Linked DNA regions of Arabidopsis thaliana. The protein of the gene in region 1 interacts with the protein of each later gene in a biochemical or structural test. Each region holds a gene or a part of one and is shown on either strand. Other genes may lie near its edges.

What was found. The genes of interacting proteins can lie anywhere in the genome.
Region 2: of the proteins of AT5G47660 (region 1) and MPK16, one has a biochemical effect on the other in vitro, tested with the Arabidopsis thaliana proteins (one large-scale study listed by BioGRID).
Region 3: of the proteins of AT5G47660 (region 1) and ATMPK8, one has a biochemical effect on the other in vitro, tested with the Arabidopsis thaliana proteins (one large-scale study listed by BioGRID).

The regions. Positions count from the first base shown.
Region 1 is NC_003076.8:19,310,889-19,315,416, forward strand, and holds AT5G47660 (Homeodomain-like superfamily protein), read left to right. Parts: upstream 1-1,858; 5' UTR 1,859-2,119; coding exon 2,120-2,562; intron 2,563-2,994; coding exon 2,995-3,748; 3' UTR 3,749-4,005; downstream 4,006-4,528. Other genes in the region: NUDT2 (nudix hydrolase homolog 2), read right to left, coding at 1-4, 100-150, 229-306, 404-541, 645-710, 1,026-1,337; NF-YB6 (nuclear factor Y, subunit B6), read left to right, coding at 4,173-4,239, 4,450-4,528.
Region 2 is NC_003076.8:6,344,270-6,349,973, forward strand, and holds MPK16 (mitogen-activated protein kinase 16), read right to left. Parts: upstream 3,999-5,704; 5' UTR 3,408-3,998; coding exon 3,384-3,407; intron 3,228-3,383; coding exon 2,819-3,227; intron 2,731-2,818; coding exon 2,603-2,730; intron 2,511-2,602; coding exon 2,451-2,510; intron 2,309-2,450; coding exon 2,159-2,308; intron 2,090-2,158; coding exon 1,934-2,089; intron 1,851-1,933; coding exon 1,639-1,850; intron 1,555-1,638; coding exon 1,450-1,554; intron 1,368-1,449; coding exon 1,195-1,367; intron 1,114-1,194; coding exon 827-1,113; 3' UTR 501-826; downstream 1-500. Other genes in the region: BPM1 (BTB-POZ and MATH domain 1), read left to right, coding at 1-96, 191-372.
Region 3 is NC_003070.9:6,243,798-6,249,430, forward strand, and holds ATMPK8 (Protein kinase superfamily protein), read right to left. Parts: upstream 4,016-5,633; 5' UTR 3,869-4,015; exon of another isoform or gene 3,795-3,868; 5' UTR 3,786-3,794; coding exon 3,519-3,785; intron 3,292-3,518; coding exon 2,889-3,291; intron 2,797-2,888; coding exon 2,669-2,796; intron 2,567-2,668; coding exon 2,507-2,566; intron 2,349-2,506; coding exon 2,199-2,348; intron 2,087-2,198; coding exon 1,931-2,086; intron 1,840-1,930; coding exon 1,702-1,839; intron 1,588-1,701; coding exon 1,514-1,587; intron 1,427-1,513; coding exon 1,310-1,426; intron 1,220-1,309; coding exon 1,021-1,219; intron 922-1,020; coding exon 844-921; 3' UTR 501-843; downstream 1-500. Other genes in the region: AT1G18160 (Protein kinase superfamily protein), read left to right, coding at 5,329-5,633. UniProt on the Arabidopsis thaliana protein: MKK3-MPK8 and CAMs-MPK8 modules negatively regulates ROS accumulation through controlling expression of the RBOHD gene during wounding.

The sequences.
Region 1 (4,528 bases):
CCACCTGAAAACATACGATGCAGAAGAGTGGGATTAGCTCTTGGTCTCATGTAAACTGTAAAGAGGACAGTGAAAAGTTGAGGCATGAAGAAGCCTTACTCCGGTCTCTTCTTTCACCTCTCTGACTGAGCCATCATGAATGTCTTCACCCTGACTCAACACAAACACAAAAAGGCGAATCAGAGAGCTGAACCTAACCATGTAATGAGCTTTAATAAGAACCAGCACCTCATTCACAACTCCGGTGGGGAACTTCCAGATACCTTGACCTTGAAATCTCCCTGTCTTCTCTTGAACCACCAGCACCTTTGGATTCAAATACAGAAAAGAAAAGAGATGTGATCCATTCTTGGAGATGTTCCAAAAAGACACACTAAAAATCTCATCTCATCAGTAATCAAACCTCTTTGTTGTGGTTAATGACAAAGGCACCTATGCCAACACGGTGAGATGCATTGGCAGGAAGCGTATCGTCTTCTTTGGGAATCCAATAGACAAGCATCAAGTAGTCTTTCTCCGCGTGGTGAAACCAGAATCCCTCCTACACATAATACACAACCAGTAAGTGATATGAAGACTCTCCAAACAATAAGCAAAAGGGGGTTTAAAGATATCTGATTGCGCATTAGGTAACAAAACAAGACCTTAACAGCAGTTTCAGCAAGACCAATAAGCTGCTTTGGCAACTTGATCCACACTCCCTTTTTGCCCTGCGTACATAAAAACGTTTGTAAACATTTCACAGTAGATCGGTTCATAGTCCTATTCACCGTCTATTACTGTAGTGGAAAAGTTGAATTTAATTTTTTTTGCAGCAAAGTGAAAGAGAGTTTCTGGCCCGCATTAGAATACAACAATTTTCAAGCGGAATAGTGACACTAACACTTTTAACACCCAAACTTTTACAATGATTCTTCTATGTAACAACAAATCGGTACCAGTATCTTGATTCGGATAACAAAATTTGTCATTTTGATCGAATCCAATAAGATCAAATTTAACAAGAGGAAGAAGGAAGAGAGAACCTGAAGAGTCCAGGTAGATAGAGAGGATCGGAGAAGTGTGGAGAAGAGAGAAGGATCCATGGGATGAGTCATCTCGGTCATCACGCCACCGTACTTGTCTTGAACAGACGGAAGCAGTGTTGTTGCGTCCTCACGGGACATGGGATTTGTGGAGGAACTAGAAGCAGACATGGATCTGTTCCTCGTGGTGGAGCAACTGTGAAACGCAGAGAACCCATCAGCCGGAGGAAAACGAAGACGACGGCCATTATTCTTATTACACAACAACAATTTGATTAAACCATAACTTTTGGCCAAACGGCAAGTCATCATTACGAGAGAAGAAAAAACAAAACTCTCAACTCAATTTACACTAAAGATTTGTCCTAAATAAGTAACAGACAAAACAAATTCTATATAAATCTGAAAGTTTTTAAATTGCTAAATAGATTGATCACTCGTTTGAAGGATTTGAGCATACAAAACCTGTTTTTTCACTTTGCGGTTCCCTTTCTACAACGTATGATGAGTGAAATAATAATAAAACAAGGAAGTAATCTATTTTTCTTCTAAAATATGTCAATAAAGGCCAAAGAAAATATTCTGTTACTGTATATTTCTATCACAAGAACATAAAAACTTCAATATTTTCTGTTTAAGAAGGTTAAGGTCAAAGGTTAATACGTACGTGGAATAGTTTCTCTGGATTGTTTGTGTTGTGACACCTACGCTTGATAGAGAAATTACCAATGATTTTCTTCTAATTTTTCTCAGATTCCCAATCTTAATATGGATTATGGATTATGATATAAAATATGTCGGTATCTCCGCGGCTTTCGCTGAGCCACACGGGGCTAAAGTGTTTTTTGCCTTTACACAAAACTGGTGTAGATACAAATTACAGAACATATTCAGCTCAGGTGGGCTCGGGTCGGGTCATATAACGACGGGTAAGAAAACGACTGAAGTGAAGTGAGGATAAAATGGAGGTTATGTTACTCCTTTGAGGGTATAAAGGTAAATATAGAGTTTTTTACCCTTTGAATTGCTTTTACTTTGGGCAGTCTCTTCTGGATTTCACGCCGCCCATTTTATTTTTTTTACCTTTTCCCGAAATGGAACTTCTCGCCGGCGACTGTCGGAAACGAGTCGGCGACGACTTTGAGGAAGATATTAACCCATTCGATGGTTCGGACGGTGGTTGCGGGTGGATGTACGGTACCCGTCAAATGGGTTCTAACGGAAACGACGACGCTTTGGCTACGCTCGCAGACTTGGCTTCGCCTCCTCAGAAATTGAAACCTATAAGGTGTGGCGTTAAGCTTCCGTCGTCGTCGGAGGATCGACATCCTCTTGATATTCTCGCCGGAACCCTAGATAGGCTGCCGGAGATGGGTTTTGGCTGCTTCGAAGCTCCTTTGGGATCGAAGATTGCTGACGTGGAGGAAAGTGGTCAATTGACTCGTGGGTTTTCAAAGGAAGAGGATGATTCTCTTCCTCCTCTTCAAATGGAGTTTCAAGCTCGAAATCGCATCTCTTGGGATGGTCTCTCTCTCAGGTATAAATCTCACCATTAAAAATGTGAGCTTTTTGTTCAACTTTGGATCTGTTACTGTGAAAAGTTGTTACTTTTTTTCTGTATTATTAAGAGTCTAATTTTTTTTCACGTTTATTAGAAGCTTGTTTGGTAGAGACCTCCTAAACACATTCTCTTCCTCTTGATATATTTGAGCTTTGCGGTATCATTTGATTCTAGATTGGTTGACTGGTGCATCACTGAACACTCTCAGCTTAAAGCATTAAACTTTGCAGATATCAATCAGATTGGTGTGCCGTCATTACAAGCTTTTACAGTGTTGGTTTATACCACTTCTAAGCAGTGTTTGTCTATATATTCTGCGGAACTTTTGGATTATTAGTTCTTAGATAGTGTAACCATGTTGGAAGCTTTGAGTTTTTGATAAGTACTTTCCAATTTTTGATTTTGCAGCTCCTCTGTTGATAGCAGCGATAGTGACTCATCTCCAGACGTTCGCAAGACCGTCACGGGTAAAAGAAAGCGGGAAACAAGGGTAAAGCTGGAGCATTTCTTGGAGAAGCTTGTGGGGAGTATGATGAAGCGGCAGGAGAAGATGCATAATCAGTTGATTAATGTGATGGAGAAGATGGAAGTGGAGAGAATACGCCGTGAGGAAGCTTGGAGGCAACAGGAAACCGAGAGGATGACACAGAATGAAGAAGCACGGAAGCAAGAGATGGCACGCAACTTGTCTCTCATCTCTTTCATCAGAAGTGTTACTGGTGACGAGATCGAGATCCCTAAACAGTGTGAATTCCCGCAACCACTCCAGCAGATTCTTCCGGAACAATGTAAAGACGAGAAATGTGAATCCGCTCAGAGAGAAAGAGAGATAAAGTTTAGGTACTCAAGCGGCAGTGGCAGCAGTGGTAGAAGGTGGCCGCAAGAGGAAGTGCAGGCATTGATAAGTTCGAGAAGCGATGTGGAAGAGAAGACGGGGATCAACAAGGGAGCGATTTGGGATGAGATATCAGCAAGAATGAAAGAAAGAGGGTACGAAAGATCTGCGAAAAAGTGTAAGGAGAAGTGGGAGAACATGAACAAGTACTATAGGAGAGTGACGGAAGGTGGGCAGAAACAGCCTGAGCACAGCAAGACTCGCTCATACTTTGAGAAACTTGGAAATTTTTACAAGACCATTTCCTCGGGAGAGAGGGAAAAATGAGTGAAAGATTTTAAATTTAGGTGTTTTTGGCACGCAAAACGGGAGAACTTGTAGATGATTACCTCGAGTTTAATTTTTATATCTTTGGTGTAGTTTATAATTTAAAACTCTACGGCTCTGTATTTGTAGAAGGTTCGAATAAAAAAGACAAATACGTTGGGGTGATTGGGATTTTGTAACGGCTAAGGGAGACGAGGAGAAGGATCCTCGGTCACATCGATTATGGCTGCCACGTTGTTGAACTTGTGAGGTCTGAAATTACAAATGCTGACACTTGCCAACACTATTAGCTTTATTCCAATTACTCTTTCTTCTCTCTCATTCCATTCTCTTCTTCAAATGCTTCTTAATTTCGGGCATTGGTTATTATTATTTATAGGGATATTCACAAACACAAAAGTCGTGTATTTAGAACAAGAAAGATATGGAACGTGGAGGCTTCCATGGCTACCGCAAGCTGTCCGTGAACAACACCACTCCTTCTCCACCAGGTAGTGCCATTCTCTATACCCCCTCTTTTCACAGGCTCTCTTCATTTCAGTTGCATGCGAAACCATTCTCTGCAATCCCTCCATTGTCATGTCTGTACTCTTTTCATGACGAACAGTTAATGAAATAGCTTTTCAATCTTATAAACCGCGCATGCAGACGTCATCGAAGCCATTATGCACTAAAACTTCCATTTTTCTTATTTTTGTTAGGATTAGCAGCGAATTTTCTGATGGCAGAGGGCAGTATGCGTCCTCCAGAATTCAACCAGCCTAACAAAACCAGTAATGG
Region 2 (5,704 bases), about 13 Mb from region 1:
CGGTTGCAACTACTTTGGCCCTAGCAGAGCAGCATCATTGTTTGCAGCTAAAAGCAGTGTGTCTCAAATTCGTGGCACTGCCAGAGAACCTGAAAGGTAAACACACAAGATCTTTCTTTTTAATCGATCTGAATCAACTCTGTTCACATGATGAGACTTGTGTCTGTTTTTTCCCTTTTGTTATGATCAGCTGTGATGCAAACAGATGGGTTTGATTATCTGAAAGAGAGTTGCCCATCTTTACTAACGGAGCTATTGCAGTATGTGGCGAGGCTAAGTGAACACTCTGTTATAGTATCTGGACATCGAAAAGAAATATTTGCCGATGGTTGTGACGCGAGTGGAAGACGAGTGAAGCCCCGGTTGCACTGAATGGGAGAGAAAGAAGAAAGATTTGTGCATTGTATAATCTCTGTTATGGATAATGGCTGATCTAATCGGATCTAGCAAGTACAATGAATCGTTTTCAACGCGTTTTCTCATAAATCAAAGATCCAATGAAATTTGGGGTTTATTGTTGGTGCATATCAGATTATTAGGTGAAACAGATTGAGTTCATGGGATATAAGAATCGTAGACAGTGTAAGTGTTACAACGTAGATAAACAAAGGTTGTTTTAAGAATACAAAACTATGAAGACAAATTACATGACAGGATCTGTAAGAACTTCTTTTATCTTCTCACGCTTCCTTCTCTCATTTCGCTCTTAAGCATGTCTTCACGTTTCGGCTCTTGATAACACAATGGATGACTCAAAGGGATACTCTTTTTAGCTCTCCCTGAGACGTGAGGTGGTAAAGCTAAAACTAGAACCATAACATCATGTTTAATACCAGCGACTCATTGCAGTATCTTGTGCTGCAGACACTTTTTGTGGTATATACTGAGTGTTTGGCTTCAATCTACTTGGACCTTCAGCAGCGGTGGCGCAATCTTCATCTCCTCTGTTGCTTTTGCAAGGTTGAGTCCTCTTTGGGTATTGAGACGCAGCAGCTGGATTTCTGACCATCCTTCTCTGTTGTTGTTCAAGAGCTTCAACGCCTGTGGCTGCGCCGCAGTTGTTATAGCGTAACACTGATCCAACTACTTTACCAGGCCTAGCTACTGCAGCACCTGCTTCATTACAACCAGATAAATGTTCAGGAGACAGAGTTATTCTGCATCATAACATTATATACAGAGAGGGTGAGAGACCTTGGATTGTTTGAGGGACGTTGATAGGAATTCTCGACATTGGCATCTGGGCATTCCTGTCTGCACCCCGAGGTCTCTCGTCTCTAATGCTACACTTGGAGAGTCCATCAGTGACTTCAGCTGAACTCTGTTGTGCCACCGGATGATTGTTATCAGAGTACAATACGCAAGCCCTGCAAAACATAAAAAGAGGCTTTGTTGAGCTGTTTCGAAAGAATCCCAAATGATCAAATTTTTAAAGGACGTAAAGCATACCTTGGTAATGATGCATGCTGTTGCCTCTCAGGGGGATTATGAGAAGTACCATTCTTGTAGTGTTCCTCGAGGTAAGCAAATTGTTTCTTGAAATGTTCCACCGCACTGCAGAATGAATAATACATTAACCATAAGAACATGGATAATACACAGGAGTATAGTATGAAGCAGGTCAGCTCAGGCCGGTACCTCGGGTACATAAAGTTAGTTGGCTCTGATCCATCCAAGTATTCTTTCAGCATCTTTGGGTGGTACTCCAGAGACTCTCTGTATATGAGCTCTCGGACGTCTTCTTTTGTGATCCTCCGCCTTTCAAACTCAAATTCCAACTTTGTGACAGGTTGAGCAGAAGGCTCTCTTTCAACCTTAGCTAAACCCTTGAAGTACACATCTGCAAGCGCCTGAGGTAACACATAAAACCATTTAGTTAGCTATAACCAAAGTTACATCATAAGGAGTGTAAAGAACGAAATGTATGAACCACCTCTTCAGCTGTAGGCCGGTCCTTGGGTTCAAAAGACAACATCTTTTCTAGAAGACGAAGAGCAAGAGGATCAGTATGTGGGAACTTATGTGAAAAAGGAATAGGCTTCTTCTTCCTCATGCTGCTCAAGTATCTTCGAGCTTTCTCGTTCCTAACCTGTTTCAGTGTAAGAAATTCAGCCAAAAAAAGAAACAATGCTTAAGCATTGTGGAAAGGAACACATACCCTTCCAATGGCTTCAGCAGATGGAGTTCCCAGCATATCCGTCATCAGATCCAATTGATGGACCACATTTTTCCCGGGGAAAAGAGGTTTCCCTGTTAAGAGTTCTGCAAAAATGCACCCGATGCTCCATATATCTATTGCCGGTGTATACTGAACAGAAGCATAGATAAAGAAAAAAAATGTTACCATAAAATTTTATAATCTGAATGAGAGAGCTATAGTGTCTACTGACTAGATTCCCTATGAAAATTTGAAACATTCGATGAAAGTATATATACAAAATCATGGTCACCTTTGAGAAAAAAGATCCACATAGTTCTGGAGCCCTGTACCATCGAGTAGCTACATAATCCTGCGATCAGAAAGCAGTAGGAATAAAAAATTGGTTTCATACCAAAAAGAGTAAACTTGTAAAGAGTAAGCATTTAAATTACTACTACTCACAGTCCAGAATATCGCAGTCGGTGTATCATTGAATGCGACTCTTGCAAGTCCAAAATCACAGATCTTGAGTTTGCAATCAGCATTTGCCAATATGTTTTTGGGTTTAAGATCCCGATGAAAGACATTAGCTGAAAGGAAGAGAAAAAAAAAGTATTTTCAGAAAGATAATCATAAACTTATACTAATCAATGAAATTTTATTGCTCGCTAGCTTAACCTGTGTGTATATACTTGAGGCCACGAAGAAGCTGATAGAGGAAAAACTGATAATGCTCAGGAGTCAAATCATCATTTGCCTTAATAACCTGATGCAAATCAGATTCCATAAGCTCGAAAACCACGTAAATGTCTCGAAACTCTCTTCTTGAAGGCGGCAACAAGATGTGTTTGATCTCAACAATGTCAGGATGGCGTAAGAGTCTAAGAAGTTTGATCTCACGAAGAATGCGAGTTGCATCCGAAACATGCTCAAAGATATCATTGATTTTCTTAATCGCAACTTTCTCTCCGGTATGTGTATCGTAAGCAGAACAGACAACTCCATAACTTCCTTTACCAATCACTTCCTCTATTCTGTATCTGCTTCCTTCACCATATTCCGTGAAGAAATCTACCTCAACTGATGACTGAATATACAGAAAAATCTATTGTCAATATCAAAAGCTTCAATACAGAGAAAGATTAGGACTAAACTAAAAGGCAGTAACAGTAAAAAGGATTGCTACAGATCCTAATCAGTTCTAATAAGCAAATCTGATACATAAGAGATTGAAAAATTGGACCTTTTTGCGGTGATCAGGCTGCATCTTCAGCTACAGGGCATTCAAAGGACGCTTACGAAGACCAAATGTAATAGCTTCTGAAACCCAAACTTAGTGAGCTTTTGAATCAAAAAAATGCAAAGACTGAGAATTTTAGTTCCAAAGGCAATGTCAAAAACAGAGAGCTCTATATCCAAATCCCGAAATCCAGAATCGATTGAAACAAATCAGAGTAGTTCCCGAGACCAAAAAAAAGGAGGCAAATTTATGGGGTGAAACAAGGAATAACCTAATCGAGATTTCTTTGCTTTTTGAAGTGAAATCAAAGAGATCAAAAGAAGGAAGCGATGGGTAATTTGAGAATCACTGAGATTGAAGAAAGACGAGGTTTTTATCTTCTTCGATCAATCTCTCTGCTTGAAATGGCTAAAAGGAAAAAGGAGAGAGTTTTTGAAAGTCGAGAGAAGCTTTTATGGTTCAGAAACCCAAAAATGATTCTTTTGAGCTAATAAAATTTCTTTACAGGATCTGAAATCTCACGAAGCAGACGAAGAGGCAAGTTTATTTGCTCACTTTTGTAGAAGAAAGTGTAGAGAGGAGAGATCTATGAGATGAAGAACAGAACAGAACAAATTATTAAAATATTATTATTATTCGTTTCTTTTATTGTGATAATTGAAAAAAGCGGATAAGTGGAGTCTGATTATCGTTGTACGAAAACTCCAATTTGCCCCCCAAGGTTTATGGGTACTTGCGACTTTTGTCTTAAATCTAGCTTTTGGATAATGTCCAAACGTCGAATATAATACAGTGTGGATATTTTTGTATAAACTATTTTAATATATGCTCTTCTTAATGAATAGATATCCGATTTATTATGGATTAGTGATGACTTATAATTATTACAATAATAAATAGTTCGTTTACTTTATAATTTTCTTTCGTGTCATAGTCGTTGTTAAAGACATATAAATGAAGTGGATTATCCTATATTTCGAATCCGATTGAAATGAGTGGTTTAAATTTTTTTTCGTATGCAGTTAATGAGTAATCTTACTTATTTTTAAGATATAGAATTTGACCGATAAGACATACTTAATTATCTAGAGACAATATTTATGAGTTATGTACAATGGTACAAGAAACTTACAAAAACTTATATATGCAATCGTCAATCTAGTATTTTATTTGAAATATGTATTTCGTATCTAATATCTTCTGTCTTTGGTGGGTTCTTTGAAATTGCTTCATAACTGTAGGTGCTTGCATGCGTAAACTTTTGCATGGTTGGAAAAATTGCATTTGCATCGATTTCAAACGTATAAATAAAGCGAAGCTTTAAATCTTCAAGTAGATGTCACTACAAGAAAACACGCCAGTTGCGAGGGAAGAAACCGTCGCTAGTCTCTCGCAAAAAGCATTTAGCGAGGGAATTGCGACGAACTCCAGTTCCTCGCAAAACGCGCGTCGTAAAATCAAATTCGTAGCAAGTTCCTCGCAAATGTTGCGAGGAACAAGTTGCCTCGCAAAACACACGCAATTTGCAAGGGAAGCAATCCGTAGCAAATTCACAGCAAATTTCGGGTCTCGCAAGTTTCTCGCTAGTTGCGACGGACGACCAGACTCGCGAAGCACACGCAATTTGCGAGGGACGTACTCGGTAGCATATTAGCTGCAACAGTAGCCTCGCTCTTTCCTCGCAAGTTGCGAGGGAATACTTCAGTAGCAAAGTAGTCGCAAATTCTTTGTCCCGCTAATGCCTCGCAAAATTTGCGATGGATTTGCGTGGCTTTTATCTGTAGTCGCAAATCCGTAGTAAAGTTTGCGATGGATTCGCGGTAAATAAGCGACTCTTTTCTGTTTTGTTTTAAGCATGATTACTGTTGAATATAGGGATTACTGTTCTACTTAACAATATTTAATGGTTATCTTAATTGGATTTTTATACTAAACTTTGAAGTTGAATACTAATTAAGAAACCTTAAACTCATATTTAAAAGCTGAAATTTTAGGTTTCAAGTACAGAAAAAGAAACTGAATACAGAATGTTAGAAGGCCAAATAATTTTACATAACAAACCAACAAAAGATTCAAGTTTTGATGAGTGAAAAAGAAACTTAATACAGAATGTTAGAAAGCCTCAGATGGAGATGACCCAGTGTTTGGGTTAGCTACAACAGCCTCAGGTTCGACAGCTTCAGGTCCGATCCCAGCAGTTGTGGCATTAGGCGCATCAGGTGGATTGGAGCTGACTGGTTCAGTTCTTGAAGAGGATCTGACTCGAAACAAGGCAGCAAACTCTGGATCCTTCTTGGCAAGGTAATCAAAGTATGCGTCAAAAC
Region 3 (5,633 bases), on another chromosome or scaffold:
AAGTTTGGCGGCATGATCCATTAGTATAATGTTAGTTTTTTTTCACTTTTAAACATGCACAAATTCAATTAGTATTTCTACTAAATAATGTAAAAACAGTGTAGCCTAATTGCTTTAACCAATCTGGCGTCTGTGGACTTTGTTCGCCATATATACATCAACTTTTTGCAGTTTCTTTTTCTTATCGAGACTGTAGTTTGGAGTTGGTGAGTAAGCTCCCTGGAGCTCACTTTACTCGACCATACCATTATTTCTGACCTCTTTTTCAAAAACCCGATTTTGTTCATTTTTTTTCTTCTTCTTTTTGTCGTTTTATTTATTTTATTTTGTCGTTATGAGATTAGTCCAAGAATGGTATCAATTCAGATGGACCATGGAATATAAATAATAGATATTAGGTTAGTCTTCGTCATTAAAAAGCCAACTAACACAGCATTATTATTATGTGTGCTAATTTTTTAGTCTTATCTTTTTTACTTTTAAGAAGTCGAGTATGTTCTTCAGGTTAATATAATTTATTATATAAGACCCAATATCCCGGTTTGACCTGGACCGGATCATACCAATCACACAAACTCTCCCAAAGTACTGAAGCAAAGTGAATACTGAATAGTATATAAATAATTTCAAAATATGAGTGTTTAAAGAAAAGAGAGAAACAAAAAAATTACATGGAGATCGATGTTTTTATTTAAAGTTTCATCAAACCCCCAAAACTATTAAATACAACAAATCAAACCCAACCACGAAGATAGATGTGGATGAATGGAGAAACCAATTTCTTTTCACCAGAAAACTTTCGTGAAAAAAGAAAAGAAAAGAAAAAAAATAACTAAATCATTTTTAAGAATTGTGAAGAGAAGCAACTTTATCAGTAAGCTCTGCAACTGTTTCATTATCTTCTTCCTCAGCTATGGTATCCTGCAAACAAAGAGAAAAGAACAACAGTAAGCAAACTTCATCGTCATGTTCCTTTTCAAGATCTTCTGTTTTTCTTTCTTTCTTTCTTTACTAACTAACCTCTTTGTCAGTTTTAGATTGGACACCAATGCATTTAGAACCGCTGATGCTTGCACTCTTCATGAGGTTACGAGCACTGTAACCTCCTCCATTGTCTGCTTCCTCGGATTCCAAGGTTGAAGCCACAGCAGCTGCTGCTCTTCTCTCAACATCACTGCTTTCTTCTGCAGTTTCACCATTTGGAGCAGGAACTCTCTCTCTGCAACATCATCATAGAGAAGCACAATGCTCTCAGAGGGAGATTGAGAAGAGAAGAGAAGAGATAGAGAGATTCTGTGAAAGACATTACCTTGGCAAGGAAGCATGATGTCTGTGAAGTGCAGTACTTCTTCCTCCTCCTGCTGCTCCTGGTTTACCTTGATTTTCTTCAAGATGAGCAAATTGCCTTTTAAATCGGTCTACCCCACTGCGCGTAAACAACAAAAAGATTTATCGAGTTCATAACTTTCTGTTTTCAAGACTTATAGTTTCTGTTAACTGTTAATTAGCTAACCTTGGGTACATAAAGCTAAGCTGATCACCACCACGAAGGTATTCCTCCAACATCTGAGGATGATATTCCAATATCTGATATTTACAAAATCCAAAGAAAAGTGATTGTTAGGATCAATGAATAACATTGAAACAAATTCAGATTAAAGAAAAGGATATATGTAGAAGGCTTTTGTGTTTGTTTGTTACCTCTCGGTAAATTAATTCTCTGACATCATCTTTAACTAACTTCTTTCTCTCAAAGTCAAATTCAAGCTTTGAAATTGGCTGTGTTGTTGGTTCACGCTCTGAATTTGACAAACCACTGAAATATGGATCAGCTAGTGCCTGTAATATGAAAATCAAAAACGACGAATATAAGAGTTTCGTTCTGTATAAAACAAAAGGGAAAAGTAAAGCAAATTTACTTCTCACTTACATCTTCAGCTGATGCACGATCTTTCGGATCAAAGGCAAGCAGGCGTTCCAGAAGGCGGAGAGCCAAAGGATCAGCTTTAGGGAATTTATGAGAGAAAGGGACTGGTTGTTTTTTCCTCATGCTGCTAAGATATCTCCTCGCCTTTTCATTTCTAATCTGTAGAAGTCCAAGATTGCAAAGCTCATTACAAGGATTAAATTACTCTCAATGATGTATGGAACATTAAATTTGCTACAGAAAATATGAACAAGTGTTTTGAGTGACTAACCCTTGATATTGACTCAGGAGGTGGAGTACCAAGAAAGTCAGTCATTAGATCCAATTGGTGCACAACGTTTTTCCCGGGAAACAAAGGCTTACCCAAAAGCATTTCCGCAAAAATGCAACCGACACTCCAGATATCAATCGCAGGGGTATACTGAAATATAACAAGAGTAGACTTAGCTTGAGATGGCTGGTCTTCTCAACAACACTATAGAACCACACAACAATATTCTACAAAATAGAAAACTAGAAGCATTTTCCTGGTAGGGAGAAATAGCAAGAGTAGTTGGGTTTGGTGAAAAAGAATCTTACTTTGGAGAAAAACGATCCACAGAGTTCAGGGGCACGATACCACCGAGTAGCTACATAATCCTACAAAATCCATATAAACGAAATGAGCTCACAAGCATTTGAAAATAGTTAAGAGGAAGCCTAATGAACAGTTTTGCTTTCACATTGAGTTAGATGACTCACAGTCCAAAATATAGCGGTTGGGGCATCGTTAAAAGAAACGCGAGCCAGCCCAAAATCACAGATCTTCAATTTGCAATCAGCATTAGCTAGAATGTTCTTCGGTTTCAAATCCCGATGAAACACATTAGCTGAAAACAGAGAACCCTTAAGTGTTTCAATATTATCTATAACAAAAATCATGAGGATCGAAAGAGACCAATGTGTAAAACCAGAAACTAACCTGCGTGAACATATTTCAGACCACGAAGAAGCTGGTACAAGAAAAACTGATAATGCTCAGGAGTCAAATCATCATTCGCCTTGATCACTTGATGAAGATCAGATTCCATCAACTCAAAGACAACATAAATATCGCGGAATTCTCTGCGAGAAGGAGGTAACATGATGTGTTTAATCTCCACAACATCAGGATGACGAAGCAACCGAAGCAATTTGATCTCTCTGAGAATCCTAGTAGCATCGGAGACATGCTCAAACACATCGTTGATCTTCTTGATCGCAACTCTCTCTCCAGTGTGTGAGTCAACAGCAGAAGCCACAACACCATAACTTCCTTTGCCAACAACCTCTTGAATCTGATACCTGTTAGCTTCTCCATACTCCGTGAAGAATTCAGTTTCACCCTGAAGAATTTTATTCATGATTCATACTTAAAATTGACCAAAATGATGGATCAAGACAATAAGATCAATCAAACGAAACACAAAACTGAAACTTTATCCTTTTGTGGAAGCAAATGCAATAACACAGAACATTAAGAGAACAAAACAAGTCTCTTCAATCTCAATCAAAAGACAACATCTAAGAGCAAATAGCATAAAAGGGTAGAGAAGGAGAAGAAGAAAGGTACCTTCTTGTGAGGATCCATAGGTAAATGATTACGTTTAGGAACGTTAATAAGCGTTAGACCAGAGAAATCGAGATCTTCTTCAATAATAAGCTCTCCAGAGTTAGCGGAATGATTGGGGTTAGAGGAAGAAGAGAAAGAAGAAGAATTGAAAATGGGTTGTTCGTGATTATTATTATTATTGTTGGAAGAAGAAGAAGAAGAAGAAGAAGAAGGTCGCTGAAAAAGCCATCGACGAACACCGTCGACGAGATTCCCACCACCACCCATAGACCACTACTAGATTAGAAAAGAAAAAGATTAGTAATTTACAAAATTGGGTATCCGAAATTCCTTGAGAGCCAAACAATTACCGTCAAGTCACCGTCTTTCTCGCCGCGTCTCTCGGTTTTGTCCTTCGGAGTTGGAGACCATGTTCTTCTCCTATTTTTTCATTTTTTTTTTAATTTTCTTTTTATGTTTTTTTCATTATTTATGCTCAGATATTTATTTTTTTCCCCTGCTTGATTATTAGAGAGAGTGAGTGGAGGGAGAAGAACAAAATATTTAAACCTTTGGAATATTTCGACGACCCGGTTTGTCTATACCGGTTAATGATAACCTGATTCGGGCATATGCATTTATTGAGTATATGGGCCTACAAAGCGGCCCATACAATAAATGTATTTTCGTTCAATCACTAAACGGATTAAACTCAACCGGACAAGGTTCGAAATTAAGAAGATGTTAGATGTTACATTACAAACCGGAATTAAAAGTCTAATTATGAATCTGAGACACAAAAAAAGAGAGAGTAAAAACGCCTTGCTCGTTCGGTCGCGTTGATGATATGAACATATATTTCATCATGAGCTGAGCAGGTCCAGGAGTCTGTTGCGGTTCGAGCACATCATAGTTATTGGGTCATAAATGAATCCGACAGTAGCGTAATCTAAGCATTTTTTAGTGAATAATACGCTTGATGATATATGTGATATGTCATGGGAGGATAATGCATAAGGTGGTGAGCGAAGCATTTTTTCAGCCAAAAAGACAAAATTTTATTTGAATAAATGATATCAAACAAATCCAGATACGCGAAGGAATATTGAATATGGAAAGCACGATCGTAAACAATTCTGCGATTTATCATTTCTTATTTTTTTTAACAAAATGTACGGTTTTGCATGATATATTTGCATTAAAAATGAATTGGTAAGTTTTTAAATAGCTCTATATTTGCATTAAGCTTTGACTGATTGTACAAAAAATAGAGTAATTTTTTAATTACAGTAGCAAAAAAAAGCAAAACAAAATTCAATTCTCTCCAGCTCAAAAATCCACTCTTCATCCTCTACTATACTCGTATCTATCTATCTACTCTACTCTGTTTTACGTAAGTTTTTTTTAGTTGATTTTCTTTTGTCGGACTTTAAGAGAGAGAAAGTGGCGTCTTTGTGGACTTTCTCAATTCAGGAGAGAGTCAAAGAGAAGGAAGAGGCTTCGCTTACTTGCTGAGAAAAAAGCTCCAAACTTTCTCTTATTGGGTTTTTGATCAGCTCCGGAGATAAAAAAAAAAAGTATTTTCTTGAAATCGAAATCTGATCTCCATTGAGAGTCTTGCTACTTGATTTGGATTCCGATTTAAGGTTTTCTCGAGAATTCTTTTGCTGCAGTTATTAGATTTTGACGAGCCGTTGATCTGGACGGAGTTCCAGATCTCCGGGTCGTGGTACCAAGGAATTAGGGTTTTAGCACAAAGTTCTCGTTTTTCTGTGTATTCGAGGGATGAAGGAGTTTTCGGGTCGATGTTCGCTGCTCTAACATTTGGAGTATGAAGATGAACATGAAGAAATTTCTCAAAAAGCTTCGTATCACGCCCAATCAACGAGACGATGGTGAAGGTTCAGTCTCTAACAGAAGCAATAAGTCTAGTGATGCAGAACCATCTCCTTCTGATTCATTGAGGTCTCAAGATAACTCTGAATTCAAACCCTTTTTGGGTTTATCAAATTGGTTAAGCTCTGTTACTCACAGGAAAAGCCCTTCTTCTTCCAATGCCACCAATAGCAAAGAGGATGACACTACCATGGAACATGGTGGTCCCGTTGGGTCGGAATCTGGGATGCAGGGTTTGGG